2 linked regions of the Rattus norvegicus genome follow. The protein of the gene in region 1 interacts with the protein of each later gene in a biochemical or structural test. Links are inferred from orthologs where the notes say so. Each region holds a gene or a part of one and is shown on either strand. Other genes may lie near its edges.

Region 1 (10,539 bases):
AGCTAGCCAGCCTCATTCCCATCAAGGCTGTTTGAATAAGAGTTTTCCTGCCATCTTGACCACTCCAATGTGATAGTCCCTTCCGGAGCACCTGGGATAGGTGGCTCTGTTGACTTTTGGGCACTAGCTGCAGCAGGAAATCTTCTTGACCCTCTCAACTTTAGAACGCTTCTTTCCTAGGAGATTCTTATACTGAGCAAACATCTGTCATCTGGAAAGTTCTCTTCTGTTCCTATTTCTTTTTGCCTTTGAGGTTATGCTAACTCCTCTTCTTTCCCTAGTGCAGCAGAAACCTTGAGTTGGTTATTGGCTGTTCTTTCATTTCCCAACTTCCCTGCACTCCCTTCCCAGCTATGCCCTCTGTTCTGCAGGAGAGCTGCCCCCTGTTCCTTATATAACCAGGATCGTCACAACCCTGGTCACCTGCTTGTGGATACGGTCGACTTATTAGTGTCACCCCTAAAATACAGTAGCCATACTTGAATGTAACCCTCCATTCAGGCATGCACAGGCCAGTGCATCATGCACAGTTGTTAATGACCTACCACCACAGATAGAAGGAATTAGCCTTGAGAATAGCTGTGGATCTATCCCTGGTTCAAGACTGAACTCAGCAAGAAAACATTTCTATATGGACTGCTATTAATATCAAGTCTCCCTAGTTCTCATCAAAACACACACACACACACACACACACACACACACACACACACACACACACACACACCCCTCTATACTGAAAGGGTTGCATTTGAAAAACTCAAAATACAGGTCTTCTCATGTGGGCCTATGTAGCTTGTCCTTTTCATTCCAATCTAATGCTTAGAGAGTTAAACACATGGTTCAAAGTACTGCCATGATTTCTAATACCTAGATCACTAGATAGGAGCTGAAAAAAAAAAAAAAGCTTGAATCAGTTAGTCCCAAACTGCAGGCATTTTCTACTTATTTCCATATATTCCCCAAGTCTGATAAAATATGTACTCAGTCCCCTCACTTTTTTCTTCATGAGAGCAATCAACAGAGTACAAATAAGCAGGGGTGGGGGAGCAGGGGGCAGGGTGGGAAATGTAAGGAAAGGGATGCTGGCCTGAGTCTGGGAATCAGGATTTCATGGTCATGACACTGGGAGACCGGCTTTCCCCAGCCCTACACTGGAGCCTTCTGCCTTTTTTAGTTTGTTTTTTGTTTTTTTGTTTTTTGTTTTCTTCCCAGATAGGGTTTCTCTCTGCAGCCCTGGCTGTCCTGGAACTCATCCTGTAGACCAGGCTGACCTTGAACTCAGGAATCCATTTGCCTCTGCCTTCCAAATGCTGGGATTAAAGGTGTGCGCCACCACCCTTTTGAGCTTTCACAATAGTGTAACTAACCAACCTCAGAATTCGGGGTAAAGCTCATCCAAACTCAGCTTTTACAATGATCTTTTTAGCTTAAGTTTCCTCTGAATTTTGAGGGAAGAGATGTGTAACAGTCATTGTGTATGAGGTATGAAAAGAACTTCCAAGTGTCTCTTTTACGCACACGGAATTACAGTCATGCTGTGTTTCAGGAATTAAAACTGACCAGTGAGAATCTGGCATATTTTATGATCGAAGCTGTCTTCCGAACTAAATATAAGCTTACATTTAATGTTCCTTTTAGGTAAGAAAAATAAGTTCTGTTTTTTTGTTTTTAACAGACTGTGAAGCCAATTTAGTCCATTTGTAGAATTAAGCTCCAAACCTAAATTTGAAAATATCAGATGGAGCCTTTCCCATCATGCACCATATTTAAGACAGCAAATGGAGAAGAAGTTGAAAGAGTGTTTTGATCTTGAGCAATCTAGAACTAGAAGGGAAACATTTGGGAAACCTCTGTTGCAGAATGCCCATGTTTAAAAACATGGAGATATCTAGAAAAGCAGGCCCAAAGAAATGGCTTTGGAACTTCCTGGAATCTTGTACAGAGGGAGCAATAGAGATGGATTCTTAATAAACTTTCAGGGCTATTTTCTCCAGAATTTTACAAGTGACATGTGAGTACTGGGGGCAAATTGTGCCAACACTGATGCTGGCGGTTCTTTCTGGGTTTCTAATAGTCACCACAAACCACATACCAGTGCCATGATACAAGCAGAAAAGAGACAAGGAGGCTCAATACTTGGTAAACTCCAGAAGCCAGGTGTGCCACGTACTTCGGGCATGCTCAGTGTCAAGGGGCCTACTGAAGGCAGCCCCCCTCAGGATTTCCTGTGACCCACAGGTAGGTGCACACAGGAAACGGAGGTAGGCAGCCCCCAATGTGGAGCAGCCGCAGCAGGTGTCGACTTAAACTTGAGTTATTCGGGGAAGACACCCGGTTGCGAGTCAGCGGTCCTCAGTTCCTTGAGGTGGGTCACTGTCACTGTACCCCACATTCCTTTGGGTTTTCCAAGTCCTCTCCCTCAAAGTCTGGCTTCAAACTCTTTTTTTGTTCAATTTCCACCTGCCAAAAGAAAAGATGAAGAAACTGTCAGGACTAAGGGGAAGCGAGAGGAGAAGCACCCCGGAGGTCCCTTGGGATTGCCCGGAATTTTGTGAATGTTCTGGGCATCTGCCACAGAGGAGCACCTACTCCTGAGTATCCCAGGATCCCCGTGGAGGTGTGGCATTCCCCTTCTTCATGGTCCATCTGGAAAATTCTCATCCATCCTTTGTCTCACAGATTTGCTCAGATATTACCTTTGCTGCCCACTCAGGAGGGAGACCGAGTTTCCTCTGAATATATCCACTGTCCCTGTCTCCACTATTCCATAGGTTCATGGGATAAGGGCAAGATCTAGCTGACTTTATCCAATGGTGTGGGATTCTAGTAGGCAACTGACAATGGTTTAGAGAACCATTTGTAGCTGACCTCTTAAGCACCTCCAATTACTTCATTTAAAAAAAATGTCTCTAAACTAATACGTATTGGAACGTTTATTGTTCTATTCTATCTCCTGCAAAATACTGTCCAGAAGTTGCTCTTTTGGCTGGAGAGATGGCTCAGTGGTTAAAAGCACTCACTGGATGCTCCTCTGGAGGGCCTGAGTTCAATTCCCAGCACCCACATGGTGGCACGCCACTGTTTGTGCATGCATGTGAGAGAATATCCACACACATTCAATACATAAATAAAATCCTTTTAAAGAGTAACACACCCTGACTACAGCCTCTGGTAAGTTGGGAAGGGACTCACTCCTTTGCACTTAGGGGTCCCATAAGTGCTTCTCATCACTGCACGGAATGTTAAGCCTCTCCCTTTAGAGGCAACAACTGAAGGTAGCTTACAGCCATGGTTGTGGGGAACTGCTAGTTTTCCCCTGGCCACAAGATGGGGCATTCGTTCTTCTTGGTAGTTAAAGAAATAGTTTTCCATGATACAACTAAGAAAATATTTAAAAAGAATAATAAATTACATAAATCTGTGGGAATCATTATATGTAGGAAATGATCAAATGACTTTGCGAAACCTTTCACCAATGCCTTTCTCTTCCCTCTTCGGAGCTTGATCTACCAAACGGCTACCTCTGCGGGGAATTATCATTTTGGTGTGTTGTAAGCCCTTGCTTCATGGAGATATGCCTATAATCTTCACAGGCAGGAAAGCAGAACTTGAAGTTGGGCTGAGCTACAGGGAGGGATCCTGCCTTCAGACACCCCCGTTTCCCCCCAATAAAAGCAGCTCTCCAGCTTTGACTGCAGACACCTCCCACGTTCCCCATCCCATTGTCACTGTGAAAGGGCTGGCTTTTAAGTTTGCCCTCTTACTTACAGTGCCTCACACCAAAACAGGAACCCTGTCACAGACCGGGAACAAGTATCACTTGGTCCGACTGTTCTTTTTGTTACTATTCATGATGTCTCATCAGCCCCTTAATTTTTTTTTTTTTGGCCTAGCCTCTCTTCTTACCCACGAGAGATCATTTCATTAAGCAGATTCATCCACAGCTATGAATGTGAAGTGCCTTGATATAAGAAGCATTTGCTGGAAGGCACGAGGGGAAGCTGTGGGGCTAACAAACGGATGTGGAAACATGGGCCCGAAGCCCTCCTGAGGCTACCTTGTAGCTGTAGTGTGCGGAATAATTGACCCACTTCCTGACATCGGGCTTGTCTTCCACAGAGATGGATCTCACAGCTGCTTTGGAGGCAGACGTCGTGGGCATGCTGAACTCGACGTTTACATGATTGGCAAATCTGGAAGGCACTTCCCGGTCAGAGCCAAGTTCAAGGTGGCAAAAGAAACAGTGTGGGTGGCCAGAAGCTGTAATAGAAAGAAAGTATCCAGAGGTTGAGTTCTCTAAGGAAAAAATTAAAAAGGAAAGGAGGCTAAAGAGCCCCGCTGGTAATAATGGAGGGCTGCCGGCGCTGCACCTGCTCGCTGAGGGTCCAGTGATAAACTTCCCCTGGGCGGACATCAGGCTCCGTGTGCCCCGGACCCTTTCATCCAGTCCTCCTGGTAACCACAGCCTGGAATTCCAGCCTGTGGAGGCTGGACAGATGGCTCAATGGTTAAGAACAATGGCTGGTCTTCCCAGGGGACCTAGTTTCGGTTCTCAGCACCCACAAGGCAGCTCACAACGAAAAGTGAAAGCAAACAAAAAAACAAATGGAAAACAAAACCCACAGTGTTTTTCTGACTGTTTAGGTCCCAGAGCTGTGCAGACAGCAGGAACACTGAGAGAGAGGCTTGACAGCGGAAGAAGGAGCAGCTGAGATTAGATTAGCACTTGGCACCTAATAAAACATGGGTGACAGCCGCCTGCAGCAAACTGCTTTCCTGTAAAAGATGAATTCCCCTAATAGCATTTTATATTTTCCGAGGTGCCTCGGGCATGTTTCTGTGGGTGGGTGACATATGAAAGTGACGGATTTATAGACAGCACACATGAAACTGGGGGACACAGTGCACTGGACCAATGCTCTCATCTGGCTGAGGGTTCTGTGCATAAAGCAAGCCGCCACGGGTCACAGCAAAAAGTCTTACAGCTGGGACTGTGGACCCCTTTGTCTGAGTCATAATTTCATGGTCCCCAAACATGGAGACCAGGTTGCAGGATGGCAGTGTGGAGATGAGACATGCACAATGACTACGGATAAACTGTGATGCGGCTTTGACCGACGGTGTAACTCTTTCCTGCCTCTCAGAGTCAACAATTTCAATTTCCTTTATTGCTCTGGGCAGGATTTTCCCATCTCGGAGAATCAGGAGACACACACCCTCTCTCCGAGGAAATCACTCCAGAGTGAGGCATTTGTTTTTCACAGATGTAGCACAATTTAATGGTTATTTCTAAAGAATAAGGCTAGGATATTTAACTGAAAAATTTGCACTGACTTTTAGGAAAGGAACCAAAATCTCACTCTCACTCTCTCTCTCTCTCTCTCTCTCTCTCTCTCTCTCTCTCTCTGACACACACACACACACTCTCTCTCTCTCTCTCTCTGACACACACACACACACATTCTCTCTCACACACACAACTTTCTCTCTCACACACACTCTGTCTCTCTCATACACACACACATACTCTCACTCACACTCTCTCTCACACACACACATTCTCTCTCACACACACTCTCTCTCATTCACACACACACTCTCTCTCACTCACACACACACACTCTCACTCACACACACACACTCTCTCACACATACATTCTCTCTCTATCACACACACACACACTCTCTCTCACACACACATTCTCTCTCTCACTCACACACACACATTCTCTCTCTCTCTCTCTCTCTCTCACACACACACACACACACACACACACACACACACACACACACACACACAAACTTGATGATATCTCAAAACACGCCTGTTCAATCTATTGTTTTGGGTGCCACGGACTAATCACAGAGCTCTCGTTTGTCACCAATACTACAACTATGCTTCACATTTAACAGCATTACCCAGTTTTGTTCTGAATGAGCTAGGTACTAATTACTCTGTCTCATAAGTGAGAAAAATTAGGTTTCTCCGACATAGTTAAGTCGATTGCATGGGGTCATACCACCATTAAGCAGCAGCACCAAGAATAAAATTCAGATCTCACTGACTCCAAACCAGGTCCTACATACATGGTGAGCTGCTATGGAATGTGGTCACTACACTGTGGAAGGCCTCTTAACTCAGATAGAGACTTGAACATTTGTTTTTGTTTTTTCTAATCAGCTTTCTCTGACATTTCTGTCTGGAATATTGAGAAGTGGTTTCTCTGTTTAAAAGGTGACTTCCTTCTCTGACTGTCTCAGAGCGTACTCACGGGAACTCTGAAAGCCAAATCTTGACTTGAATTCCTAGCTTCAGCTATTTAATGTGTAAGTGTGGTGGACAGGTGGGGCTAAACCATTTTAAAATTTGAATAATTCAATTCATGGTTATAATAATAAGAACATCTTTACGTTATTGGGTCTTTCTTGATGAAACTTAGCATTAAAAATCAGATTGATGTTACTACACAGTGGAGTTTCACTCCTTTAATCAAGCAAGAAATTAACAGCTGGCACATCTTTAATTCCAGCACTTGGGAGGCAGAGACAGGGGCATTTCTGAGTTTGAGACCAGCCTGGTCTACAGAGTTCCAGGATAACCAGGGCTGCACAGAGAAACCCCGTCCCGACCTCCCTGAAGAAATTCTAATAAACTAATAACGAGTGTAATACACAAGCAGCCCGTCACTTGGCTTCAGCCTACTGAGCATTAAAGAACTATTTGCTGAACATCTGTTTGCTGTCTCTCTGCCCTCTGCCCATGGTCTGTTTCTTCTGGTGGCAATCCTTTTTTCTCTCTCCTTTAGGACAATAAACCTCTCCGGCACTATCTGCCATCTTGATTGCTCTGGTCACTTGTCAACTTGAGCCAAGTTGCCCACGGACCAAAAATGACTGACACAAAAATTGTCTCCATGGCTGTACTGAGGAGATGACCATTAGTTTCTGTGACTAGGGCTGCTTCAGAGCTTTCTTTTCTGATGTCTGATGTTTAACCTTTCCTCATTTCAATGATCTACTCATACCGAAGGCCTCTACTCCTACCCATTTAAGGTCAGCCTTGACTAAAATCCTCCTCGCAGTACTTTTGAGTATTTTAAGTCACTTTGATATTATTTGCACACATTGAGAAACTACACATCTGTGTTTCCAGGGTGTAGATTATTTGAGGCGTGTACGTATTCTGCTCATGTATAAAGAGGAGCTGTGGTATGAAGAAGAGACCCTTGTGTGTGTTTTTTGTGATTTCAGGTGAGTAATGTCACCTGTCAGATCTTAGCCTCTCCTCTGAGGTCCCAAGCTTGAAAGCCCAGTCCTTTCACACACAGTTCTCTCTTCCCCGGGGCTTTTGTGCCACAGGAGAACTCAGGGCTTCTCGTTTCCACTGTCAAGCGAGATGGGCCCCAGTGACTGAGGCAGCCAGCACATAAGCCCCGGGAGAAGAACCCAGTGCTGAGCAGGGGAGAGAGGAGACAGCCAGCACAGGGCTGAAGACTGTTTTAAAACCCAGCGTAGGAGCGGAGGGTGGCCGCCCCAGCCTCCAGCACAGAGGTCTGATTGTCTCCTCAGCTTGCATTGCCGCACCCAGTGTCTGACACAGAAGGCCGGTGTTTGCCTTCTCCCGGGCAGCCGCAGTTCCTCTGTCTATCTCATCGAATTCCATTTGAGATATGATAACGCAACCAAATCCACACTTGTAGCAGCATACCCTGGACGCACTGTAATAGTTTAGCAGAGGTACCATAAGAAAGCAGCGGTGCGATTTTCCTCTGACTAGCTAATCCACTTTCCTTAACAGATGGGCACGCTTTATTGCAGACAAGAGAAGTGGTTTAAGGGCTTGTGGGATCACAGGCTCTTTGCGGGCCACTGAGGTCACGTCGACATACTCCAGAAATAAAGCCGTTAGCATGGTCTTGCTTTCTCAGTCAAGAAGTTTTGCTAGTAACTGCCTCCTGGGCTTTCCCAGACACAGTAGCGAAGCCGCTGGCTGTGAGCAGGACAGCTAGGCTGGGAAGTTTGTTTGTTCAAATCAAACACTCTTTATTTTTCTGTCTGCTGGAACTTCAGCCCTTTGGACCCTGGTATCCTGGCTACTTAATCTCTTTTCCATCACGAGTCCCAAAACCAAACTCTGGGTCTAATACACCATGACCAACAGTGGCTCGTTGCGGAAGGCGCAGCTCTCACACAGACTGTGCCTATGCCTGGATGTACACTGACTCTTTCACCTTCATCAAGGGGATTGTCGTTGGAAGGATTCCTCTTCAGAACCCACATGTTCTGGGACCTGGGAATGAACTGCTTCTGGCACTAATACTAATACTTGCTCCTAGTCCTAATACTTCAATGGGTTCCAGAAGGAAAAACACTTCAACAGAACTTGTTGATGGTTGAACAAGTAAAATGTGTACACAGGGACCTGGATTTGGTGTCAGGTAAAAGAGGCAGGTGTGGGGGGTCTGCAGATAGTCCCGTGGCTGGGGTGGGCTGGAGACAAGGCCCAGAGGCTGAGTGCACTGGCTGCTCCTGCAGGGAACCTGAGTTTTATTCTTACCAACTGCATGGTAAGGCACAAACCTCTGTAATTTCAGTTCTATGGGATCTGAAACCTTCTTGTGGCCTCTGAGGGCAGTGCATGCATAGGGTGCACAGACATATGTGCGGCCCAAAAGGCCATACATAAAATAGTAAAATAATTAAAACAACAGAACGCATGAACCACCGGTAGGGAAACAAAGACATGCAGATCACTCGGGACCCTGGCTGAACTTGGCAAATGGAGTTCCAGGCCAGTGAGAGAATCTTTCTCCCAAACGGGGTGGCCAGCACCCTACCAATGGCATCTGATGACAGTCTCTGGCCTCTACACATATGTGCTTACACACACACACACACACACACACACACTCACACACACAACACTCTCACACACTCACACACACACTCACACACATAACACTCTCTCACACTCACACACACATACACACACAACACTCTCACACACTCACACACACACTTACACACATACACACATTTGCACACACACTCACACACACTTACACAACACTCTCACACACTCACACTCACACACAACACTCTCACACACTCACACACACATTTGCACACACACAACACTCTCACACACTCACACACACACTCTCATACACACACACACTCTAACACACACATACACAACACTCTCACACACTCACACACATACACACACAACACTCTCACACACTCACACACATACACACATTTGCACACACACTCACACACACCCACACACACACACTTACACAACACTCACACACTCACACACTTACACACACTCTCACACACACTTACACACACACTCTCACACGCACTTACACACATACTCTCTCACACACATACACACTTACACAACACTCTCACACACTCACACTCACACACTCACACACATACACACACAACACTCTCACACACTCACACACATTTGCACACACACACTCACACCCACACCCACATATACACTCACACAACACTCTCACACATTCACACTCACACACTCACACACACTCTCTTACACACTTACACACACACTCACACACACTTACACAACACTCTCACACACTCACACACTCACACACACATAACACTCTCACACACACTCACACACATACACACACAACACTCACACACACACTTACACACATACACACATTTGCACACACACTCACACCCACACCCACATATACACTTACATAACACTCTCACACATTCACACTCACACACTCACACACACTCTCTTACACACTTACACACACACTCACACACACACAACACTCTCACACACTCACACACACATAACACTCTCACACACACTCACACACAACACTCACACACTCACACACACATACACACATTTGCACACACACTCACACACACTTACAGAACACTCTCACACACTCACACTCACACACTCACACATACACACGCAACACTCTCACACACTCACACACATTTGCACACACACAACACTCTCACACACTCTCACACACACTTACACACACACTCTCACACACACTTACACACATACTCTCTCACACACATACACACTTACACAACACTCACACACTCACACTCACACACTCACACACACATACACACACAACACTCTCACACACTCACACACACATATACACACAACACTCTCACACACTCACACACACATACACACATTTGCACACACACTCACACCCACACCCACACATACACTTACACAACACTCTCACACATTCACACTCACACGCACACTCTCTCACACACTTACACACACTCACACACACACACTTACACACACATACTCTCTCTCTCTCTCACACACACACACATTTGCACACACACACTCCTCACAGGAACATAAACACACGCACGTAATGCAGAAGCTGCCCTGGACAGCTATTTGTCCACAGAGCTGAGTAGTATAATGAGTACTCCTTATGGGAGATGAGAATGGTAAGGCCGGGAAGAGATGAGGTATACTAAGTC
Region 2 (10,539 bases), on another chromosome or scaffold:
CAGTTCAAGGAAGGTTGTTCCTACTCACACTGCGGGACCTATGGCGACTGGTCTGGCTGGGAGCTCTAAGCAACCACTGATGGCTTGGAGTTAATTTGTATTCTGGCTGCCTCCTGTCAGCGCCACGAGTAGATGTAATCGGCTGAATACTGTGAATTCTAATTACCAGAAGTTAAATTAGCAGCTAGGGGACTGCCTGTACTTAGAAATGATTTCATCAATAGCTTTGATAATTGCATTTTCCGCTCACAGCAAACGAAATGTTTTAAGGACTCTCTTGCTTCAGTTCCTACTTGGTAGTGTCAGAAAATGTAATGGAATTAGACGCATTCCCCTCAGACCTGGTTATTCTGGAAGTCATAGTCCAGTGAATATTGGAGCTTTCCCAGTTTCTCCTCTTCCTTGGGCTCTTCCTTTTCTTCTCCATCAGTCAGTCCGGTTTCAGCATCGTCATCCTTAAGGGCCTATGAGGACGAAAAAGAAATCCAAACGAATTTTCACCAAGGCCCAAATCCAACTGGCCATATAGTTAGACCTCCAAGCTGTTTGAAGCAAGCAGGAAGATGCTGGATGTCTATTTGTCTGACACATTCTCATTGGCTGCTAACGCACACGTGTTTTTAATTTCACTTGTGCATGAACCTCCCCCCACCCCCAATCAGCAAGCAGCATGGAAGCAATGGCAGAAGCCCCCTGGTAGTGTAGCAAGCAAAATATGAAATTGTTGCAAGGAAAACGTCAACTTGGTGTTCTCTTGTCTCGGATCGCATTGCCTCTTTTGGTTTTTCTAGTGTGGTGAACATGCTTGTATCCAGGCTGGGTTTCACATTCTCGTAGCTGCAGTGGTGCTCAGCACCATGTAAAACATCCTTGGTGCATGCAGTGGGGAGAGTCACATGGAATGCATGGCCTTCCACTGCCTTATGGCTTCTGTCAAAGATGGCTGAGTGACCCTCGGAAAACCGTAAATTCTTTGTGTTTTCACATCTATGATTGTAACATTTCAGAAGAAAAGGAGAAAACATGCCAGCAGTGAATGCTGTTTAGAGAGAAGTTCAGTCCATTTCCAGCTGAACTTTACCATTTTATTTTCATAACAGCTCCTCAGAAAGCTAGGCTGAATTAAACTGATTTGACTTTACTTAATATCAAAGACAGAAGAGTCATGTTTGTCATTTTGGAAAACCTTATATTGGTATAAAGTTCATTTTGCATTGAACAACAAGGGCCATGGTGCTAGACTTAGAAAACCTATACAATTATATATTTTTCAATCTAAAAGATAGAACATAAAATAAAGTATTTGAAAGGTCATTATGTCATAAAATATGTACAATTTCTGTATTTCAAAAAAATGAAAAGGATATAATATTTTCCTAAAATGTAAAAATTGTGCTGGGTATTTCTACTACAAGGGTTTATGCTCCTGGAAGATTTCTTCATGGGGCTGTATAGATAAACTTGTATACTCTATGCAATGCCATTCTTCACAATCGAAAATTATGAAAAGTTCCACCTCCCTGTTCACTAGTATGTTTGAAAAATTGAAACATTTAAAGGTATCTGACTAGCACTCACATATTTTGTTCTGCTTTGTGGGTTTTTATTTTTACATTGCTTGTGTTTTTAATGGAGCGAGTGTTATCTGCTTCCATCAAGCCATCACGTATTTGTTGTGTCTGCTACTGCAGAATCTCACAGGACGAGAAATAGAGCCGACAAGCAGTGAGCTGCACTCTATTTCGTCAGCGTTAGTGACTCTCTACTGTTGTCTAACTAGCATCAGCTCTGGAGCTGGCCTTCAGAATGCTTACAGAATTCAAATATGAGAGGTTTAGCCAGGCTGCAAAGGTCCCAGGGCCAATGGACCCTGGTTCACCATCTTGCTGTTCCTGTCTGTCTGTCCACATAGATGTTCCCTCTGCTGTCTCTCTTCTCAGTGGAGCCTCCTTCACTCCCTCATCACTTGCATGGCGAGCTCTTGTGCTGCTTGAAATAGCAAGCTCTGTCTTCCAGTCTCGCTCCTTTCAGCTAACCCCACAACGATCCCCCATCTGCAGGGAGGCTGACATAGCTCATTAGTTCTGCTCTCTGCTTAGAAGAGCGTCTGAACAGAGGTGAGCTGTCGTCACGCGTGTGTCATCCTTTGTGCCTTTTGACACATCTCAGGAGTCTACAACGAGTCTGAGAAATTGAAATTACCATTTTCAAATGTGGCTAGCCCTATACTATTGAATTTGGAAAGATTAATTTATACTTGGGAACTTCCTTGAATATTAAAGTAATTTTGTAAGGGGCCAAAGCATGAAGCAGCACAGTTATTGATAAGCAGCACAGTTATTGATAAACTGCGTTAATATGGCTGAGTCTGACTAGAACACTCTAGATAGTGGCCTCCATTTGTCCCTGAGAACCCTAGCTATGTCCAGTCTTTAGCACTGCTTTAGAGGATGTGGATAAAGAGATTATGGTTTGGGTAGTTCACCTCCTTTTAATATTTTGATTTAAAAAAAAAAGAATGGAAAATTCCTAAATGACCCACTGACTGAAAATACTGATGGGTCACCCCATTCTCTCAAAAAAAAAATCACAAATTTAAATACTTTTCCAAAAGTCCCCTTTCAGAATCGACAATTTATACATCATGTTTCAGCCAAATGAAATTTGAAATAGCTGAGATATTAAATCTCTTCTTTCCTATGTGGTTTTTGCCAGAAGAGAAAGTGCAGGATCATCTCTGCAACTATTTTTCATTAAATTTTTGATATTTTTTTTGGTGCTCCTGTTCACCACCAAAGTGAAGTTAATTCCTGTCTTAGAGGTCGAGCTTCATTAACATGTACACTGTGCATTACATTAAATTCAGACCTATTAAATCAGTAGTATTATAATATGTTGAGAGCAATATTTTTCCCTCCATAGGGAAAAACAAACAAACAAACAAACAAACAAAAAAACCCACCTGAGATGAAAAAGCCTGTAAGCCCAGCATCTCTGAAGCCAGGCAGATTGTAACAGGAAAGCTTTGTTGAGAACATCAGGGTTTTATAAAGTTTACAGGCTTAGAGGGGCATGCATGTGGCTTGCTTTGGCGTTCAATATTTACCTACTCCACAGTCATCAGTAAACGTATTTCCTCATTCTAAGTTACATTGTTCAGACAGGATTTGCTAAGGGACATTAAAAGGCGCCATAAGGACTGCATTTTCTTTCCTATCTATTAATGTAAAACCTTTGAATCCTGTTCTATTTAGCCCATGTTAGTCATGTTTAAAATGAAACACATCATCGTGGAAGATCAGTTGAGTTCAGCCTTTTGATGTCAGAATGGTAAGCCACCCGCTGTGGAGCCCAGCCACCAGCATTGATTGGGGTATCTAGTAGCAGAAGAAACCTACCGCAAGGGACAATCCAGAACAGTCATGAGACACAACACAGATAAGGGGGACATAGAAGGAAGAAATAAAAATTAAAATATCCACACACATCAGTGAAAACCATGGAGAAATGACCTGTCTAAGCTTCTTACTTACAAGTTGCCATCATCTCCCCTTCATGGCTAGTCATTTAAAGACTCAAGGTGTTATAAAAAACCCCAATACACGGATCTTTTGGAATACAAATATGCTCTATCTAGAGTTTACTTTTGAAGTCATTATTGAATTTTAAAAAAATTATTTTTTGGTTACGAAATCTTAATATAGATACATAGCCATGAGCGTTGAAATTTGAATTTCTGGGAGTTTGGAATGTTCTGAAGTAATAAAAACATATTGATTGCCCTCAAGCCTATATAGCCTCAGGAGTTCCATCTAAAACTTGTTTTTCCCTGTCCTGTCCTTCACTGAGAGAGTCATACACTGTTCTTATCTCCTTCCCTATGTTCCCTGAGATATGCTACTTAAAATATTTCGGAAGCACAGTGTTTAAAAATGAATTTAATCTGTATAATTTTGAGAACTATGGGACACAATGTGACATGTCATTCTTCTAAAACTTTTTTCATCTTTAGCCTTCATATTCATAGGCTGTTAGCTATTTTTGTAAGGATTGGTAGAAACATATACTATTATTATATAATTATCATGAAACATAATTTCACCTATTCCAATTATATTTTATTCTATACATTGAAGATTAAGACAATTATACCTAGCTAAAAGCCCTGAGTACATGACATTGTTGACTTACATTAATTAAAACCAAAAGTGGTTGAAATTCTAGATGCTTTGCTATATCAAGGAAGTAATTATAGACTATCACTGGCCTTTTCTACTAGTTCATGACTTGATTCCTATTCCTCTGCTCCAACCCATTGGAAGGAGCAGGAGAGATGGGAAGTCACCATCAATCTCTATGTGAGATCCAGGTCATTTATCCATGGTGTAATGGGGATATCAGCTCTATGCCATCAACTGTAGTGTTACATCATACAGAACAAATCCACAAATGAAAATATAACACTCTTATCCTGGAAAGAAGCACTTTAGTTACCACCTAAAAAGTAATCAATGCTTTTACGTGTTCACTTCAGGACACGAGAAAATCACAATAGAATTTTATAATAATTATGAAAGCGATAGCATTGTCTATTCAAAGTTTTCTTTTCAAAGATATTGCTAAAATAGCATTTTCTAGTCTGTATTTACCAAGGTAAATTATTTCTATAATCATAAAAAAAATATGATTCTGTCTTTAAAAAACTAAAATAAAAACTAAATAGATAAAGAAGGAAGAAATGTCAGTATTAAATTCTACTTGCTATAAGCCAAAATTTGAGTATCTACTTAACAAATTAAATGAAGGGGAAAATCCTTCTTAGTTATCTGTAGTTGTTCATGAGGTTCTGTGACTGATGAGAAACTGCCAGAGAAATTGAATCTTTGTTACCCTGAGCTCAGACCAAAGGTCTCTGAGCAGGAGAATAGACTTTCATCCACTCTACAGCTCTGAAATCAAGCTGAACTGCAGGGAATGGGACGTGGACTGTGTCTGTCCATAGACACTGCATGGTCTTTGAGAAGGAGTTTAACACTCACACTGGGAAGGAGGGTTAGAATATGAGAGTCCATGTGTGGAAACCCAGGACGCTCTACATGTGTGCTATGAGGCTATGGTAAGCCCTGGTCAAACTGCTCTTAGATGCATGTGTTAACGATTCAGCTAACAGTAATTAATACCACAAAACAATCAGCAAAACTGCCTCCACAACTTCCTATTTGGACATTAATAGAACATTTAAATTATCTGATAGAAAACAATGCTTCCAAATTATTTCGATGAAAAATCTTTACACTCTCATTTCATATGAATTAAATTTTATTTAGAAACATTTATTGTAAGTACTATTCAAAAACTGAAGAAGCATTAAATACTTTTTATTAAACTTGACCTTAACTAAGTTGTCCAGTTAACGTAGTTAAAAATCGGCAGCAATGCCAGGGAAACCAAACATCATCTCTATGCATGGGAAGGCACTCAGGTACATAGTTTATCAACATATGGGTTCTAATTGTGATCATTAATTGAGGAAATATAATTTTGTCTTTCAACTCGGTTTTGTTCTTTAGGACTGGATCCTATCTCCCCTCACCAGATATAACTTATTATCTCCGGCATGTGAGGGCTGAGCTGGCCGGGTGCATAGCATGTTGGCATTTACCAAATAGGAGGAAGATCTTTAGCAGAGACTTAGAGCAGTGCCTGAGGCAGAAAGAGCCTCCGTCCAAGGCAGAAAGCACTCAGATAGGATTGGCTGATGATGGAACAAAAATGTTCAGGAATTGTCTTATTGTGCTAGGCCCATGAAGCCACACCTCGTGGTGTGAAGCCTCTCCTGGTATATGTGTGTCATCAGGTGAGAAAAATACCACTGTGTCTGTCTCCACTCCACTCTACTTTGGGAGACCGAGTAACACCTGAAAGGACTGCCAAGCATCTCTATACAAACAACAGTAGCCTCAAGTTGTCTATGTCTATGAGCATCTGCAGAAAAGAGCACAACCCCACTGCGCATTCTCGGGGGCATCTGTGAACAGGCACGAGGGGGCGAGTGCATTACCTGATCCTTCATGGTCTTCCCTAAGTCTTTCACGTCTTTCATGTTAATGGCGTTCTTTCCTCCCTTTTCCTTCCCCTTCTTCTTGTTTTTCTTTTTGAACAAACATTTCTTACAGACACAAAAGCAGCAGGTTACGACTAAAAGGACCGCAACTATGGCTATGGCTATTAAGGCCCACGGTGGCACTGGAAGAGAGAGAGAGAGACAGAAAAGGAACATCAGCAGTGGAACCAGTTAGCCAAGCACAGTGAAGACCCCAGGCCTGTGGCTGGATTTCCCCAGCTCTTGTTTTGCCCCAGTGGTGCTGTTCTGTAGGTTTTATCTGTGCTGCAGCCTGGCCTGGACTCTTCCTCTTCCTCTACATATATTGCACGTTGCCTTTCCCATATGCTTCAAGCTAATTTCCCATTCACTCTTCATTTATTCAGAGCATCTTGTACAAACCCCCTCTCTGCTTTAGCTTCCTCATCTATTCAGTAGAGGAAAAATTAGCAAGTAGTTTGGTGAGTCTTACAAGAATTATTGAGATGCAGTGGCTAGCATGAAAGCTTAACTAATGTTCACTGGAATGCTTCCTTATTGATAACATTATAGTTGTTAATATATTCTGGCATGGTAGAATGTGCAGATATTAACCACACGAATAAAAGCCAATTGTAAAAATTACAACCATGTTGAAGGCAAGCAGTAAGTATACTTGGTGCCTTGAGAAAAGATCATGGAGAGGGTTTGGCCAGGCAGAGGCTGTATGACTACTCCCTGATTGCTTAATGTGATTTCTGTTTATTTCTCTATCAAGTGGAGAATATACTGTCTGATTAAAATTAATAGACTGAAAAAAATCCTAAGAATGGCACCCAGAACACACCAGGAACTCAAGTACTGGTAGCTATCATTTCTTTTTGTATTTAACGCATAGGATCCAGGGACTTCAAGAATCTTTAAGGAGACACAAGATTTTTGAAGAGAGATATCGAAAGAAAGGTGGACACCCTGAAGCAGTGAGAACACAAAGAGAATGGAGAAGAGGAAGTGATGAGTTTTGGGTGATAGAGGAGGTAGATTTTTAGGCTCTGTTTAACATAACAGAGTAGATACCACACACATACACATACTCACACACACACATACACACACATACACACACACACATACATACACACATACACACATACATACACATACATACACACATACACACACATACATACACATACACACATACATACATACACACATACATACACACACATAACACACACATACATACACATATACACACACATAACACACACATACATACACACATACTCTCACACACACACATACTCACACACACATACACACACATATACGCACACACATACACACACATACATACACACATACATACATACACACACATACATACACACACATAACACACACATACATACACATATACACACACATAACACACATACATACACACATACTCTCACACACACACATACTCACACACACACATACACACACATATACGCACACACATACACACACATACACACATACATACACACACATACACATACATATACACACATACATACATACACACACAGACATACACATACACACATATACACACATACATACACACACATACATACACACACACACAGAGTTTTCTGTTGTAGTTGTCCAACTGCTATGAGTTAAAACGTCCCCTTATTTAGCATCTGTGTACAACGTGCTTATAAAAAGCTAAGTTCCACGGGTGCGTTTGAGATTTAACTTTGACTGGAAAGGAATTATTCATGATTCAAATCACAGCTCTTCAGATTCATCAGAAGTAATTAGATTTGTCTGTTCTAATAAGAAAAAAACATTGGGCACTGAAATACTAAGAAAAAGCCTAATTTTCTTTGAGCCGCATAAACATCATTAGTGCCAATGATGGTCGAACACAAGTCAGGAGTACTCTGATAAAGTAAAAACACTTAAAATTAACCTCTCTTCAAACCAGAAAATCTGCTCTTGTGTGCTCTCTCTGCGTTGAGCTTTGTGGTGAAGAACATCCACTCTGCATATTATTAGATACTAGATAAGAACCTAAAGACGTATAAAATTACCACTTTTGATACCATGTTTATAGCCACAGAAGTACTTGTGGGAATGGTAGCGATAAGTACACACCCTACAACGTGTTTTTCTTATGTCCGTGAATCTATTTGAACAACCCGTGCCTTTTTTTAAAACGTGGAAATCAATGCGAGCTCACACGACCAATGATATTATTCCCAAGCCTTCACTTAGCTGACTCTACCCCTGATGACTGAGTTAAAATCCTGCCATGTGTGAACAGGGGTGGGGCGGGGAGGTGGGGGAGGTGCTGTGTGCTCACTGCAGGCAAGACAGTGTTAATAATGGCCCTGCGTTCTAAATCTCAGAAACTATTCTCCCAGTCAGATTTTTGTGTTAGTCTCTCAGAGAGCTACATAAAGGCCTCTTAAACTACAAAAGAAAAGACTGAGATGATTGGACAAGTTCACACAAAGAAAATAGGCGGTAAGAGCAGAGGAACATTATTTAATCAAAAACGGTTAAAGAGAGGGAAGATGGGTTTGCAGGAAGGTGATTTCAAACCACTGGAAAAGTTTCATTTTGTGACCTTTGTTTCTTAAGGTGTTTCTAATGGAAGTCTGCTTTTCAGTTGATCTGGAGTGCAGGCTAATTTTAATCTTATATATAATTATTAGAGTTTTCCTCAGGTTTACTAATACCTTCGGATGGAATTAAAAAACCCTTACTCTAGTTAATTTGTACATCCATGAAGAAGTCAACAATAATGTAAAGGAAATAGCTTCTTTTAATGGATAAAATTATCTGAACACAGTGTGTCCATGAGCAGTTCGCTCAGTTCAGTTTTATTGTGGCGAGCCAATCTCACAGAATCCAGTTTGGACTGTTGGAAGCTGCCTCTGAGGGCCTAACCACTGAGATGAGTTTAGCGTTTCTTTTAATCTTCACAGCAATTTTGTTCATTATCACTTTGGTTTTACAAAGCAAAACCTAACAGACTGAGCATCGCGAGGAATTTCAATGTCTCTAGGTTGTTCGGCTAAAAAAGTGTGTAACTAAAAGAAGCATACGAAGGAAAAAGTCACGTCTGGGTTTGAGGCTTTTTTAGGTAGGGCATTTTAAATGGAAGAAAAATCCAATAAAGCAAACAAACAACTGTCTAAAATGTGGCCAGGAGCAATGTCCTTGGTATGAATCCGTGTCCATCAAAACATCGCTTGCTGGCACAGTATTCAGATGCCGCTTCTCACTATCAACCACCGACACGTGAGATTTCAAATCAGAATTTTAACATTCAACTTAAAGGCTTCCAGCAAAAAGTAATAAACAAGGGTGAAAACCCTGAAAATATTATTTTTAATTTTCTAGTTAATGAGCTATTTTTCCTGTATTTCTTGAACCAAAGGCAAATAGATACATAAGGATTAAGCCAAAGGAAACTTTTTTTTTTATATGATAGTTTAAGTTAGACTGGTGGTAGGCAGACAAAAGTCCTTTATGATTTACACATCCTGCTTCGTGGAAGCTGAGAGCAGGCCACAGAGGTTGGCATCTCTCTGCTGTTCCTATCATTATGTTCTTTCTGTGTGCTATTTTTGGGAATGCTCCTCTTTTCTCTTTTTAGTCAATTAATATTTACTCTTTAAGTTTACTGCAAGTATTAGCATTGACAGGAGTTTATGTAAAATTGCTAGATACATTTTTTAAATCCCAGTGGGATTACTGACTATGTGATATAGTATATTGGGTGGTTTACAGTAAACTGGTATAAAATGATTTGTTGTCATTTAAAATAGTAATTATTATTTTAAATATGCATATACTTAGAAAACATTTTAATACATCCTTTTTCTGTGACTGAAACATACTTCCTACTGATTCAAAACTTGGGTTTTTTTTTGCTGTAGAGTATTTGTGATCTGAGCATTAATACTGACATCCACACAATGAAAAGATTACTTACCATTTTAAAGTAAAATTGCATTAATAGGTCTTTTATTGGAAAAGAAAGTAGAATTGCTCTCCTCAGTAAGAAAGGTGACTCTTCTATGGAGGCACATATACAATGAATACTGAAATATATAATTATTTAATCAAACACAGTAGTGGGTACCTGCAAGAGCAGTGTCTTTTTCTCAAGACTGGGATACGAATTAAGCAGAGACTCTCTCATGGTGCACCTTAATATTTTAATTTTCCAGTGCTATAAGGTAGGTGTCATTTGCTCTATTACAGGAAACTAGGTTCTCATTTTGCTAAATGAACATAACAAAGTGCATTTTAAGATGAAATCCATGTGGCACTATTATATATTGTGTATATTATTATATATAAGTAGGCACTTGTGTATACATTAGGCTGCATGGGCATATCTATTGAAACCAACTGGTAACTGTTCTTTCCAGAATGAAAAACAA

The links.
Region 2: the proteins of Ston2 (region 1) and Syt1 form a complex in vitro, tested with the Homo sapiens proteins (2 studies listed by BioGRID). The link is inferred for Rattus norvegicus from reciprocal best matches to the Homo sapiens genes STON2 and SYT1.

The regions. Positions count from the first base shown.
Region 1 is NC_086024.1:116,296,193-116,306,731, forward strand, and holds the end of Ston2 (stonin-2), read right to left. Parts: intron 4,264-10,539; coding exon 4,061-4,263; intron 2,464-4,060; coding exon 2,380-2,463; 3' UTR 2,006-2,379; downstream 1-2,005. UniProt on the Homo sapiens protein: Adapter protein involved in endocytic machinery. Involved in the synaptic vesicle recycling. May facilitate clathrin-coated vesicle uncoating.
Region 2 is NC_086025.1:45,842,042-45,852,580, forward strand, and holds part of Syt1 (synaptotagmin-1), read right to left. Parts: intron 6,247-10,539; coding exon 6,062-6,246; intron 465-6,061; coding exon 342-464; intron 1-341. UniProt on the Homo sapiens protein: Calcium sensor that participates in triggering neurotransmitter release at the synapse. May have a regulatory role in the membrane interactions during trafficking of synaptic vesicles at the active zone of the synapse.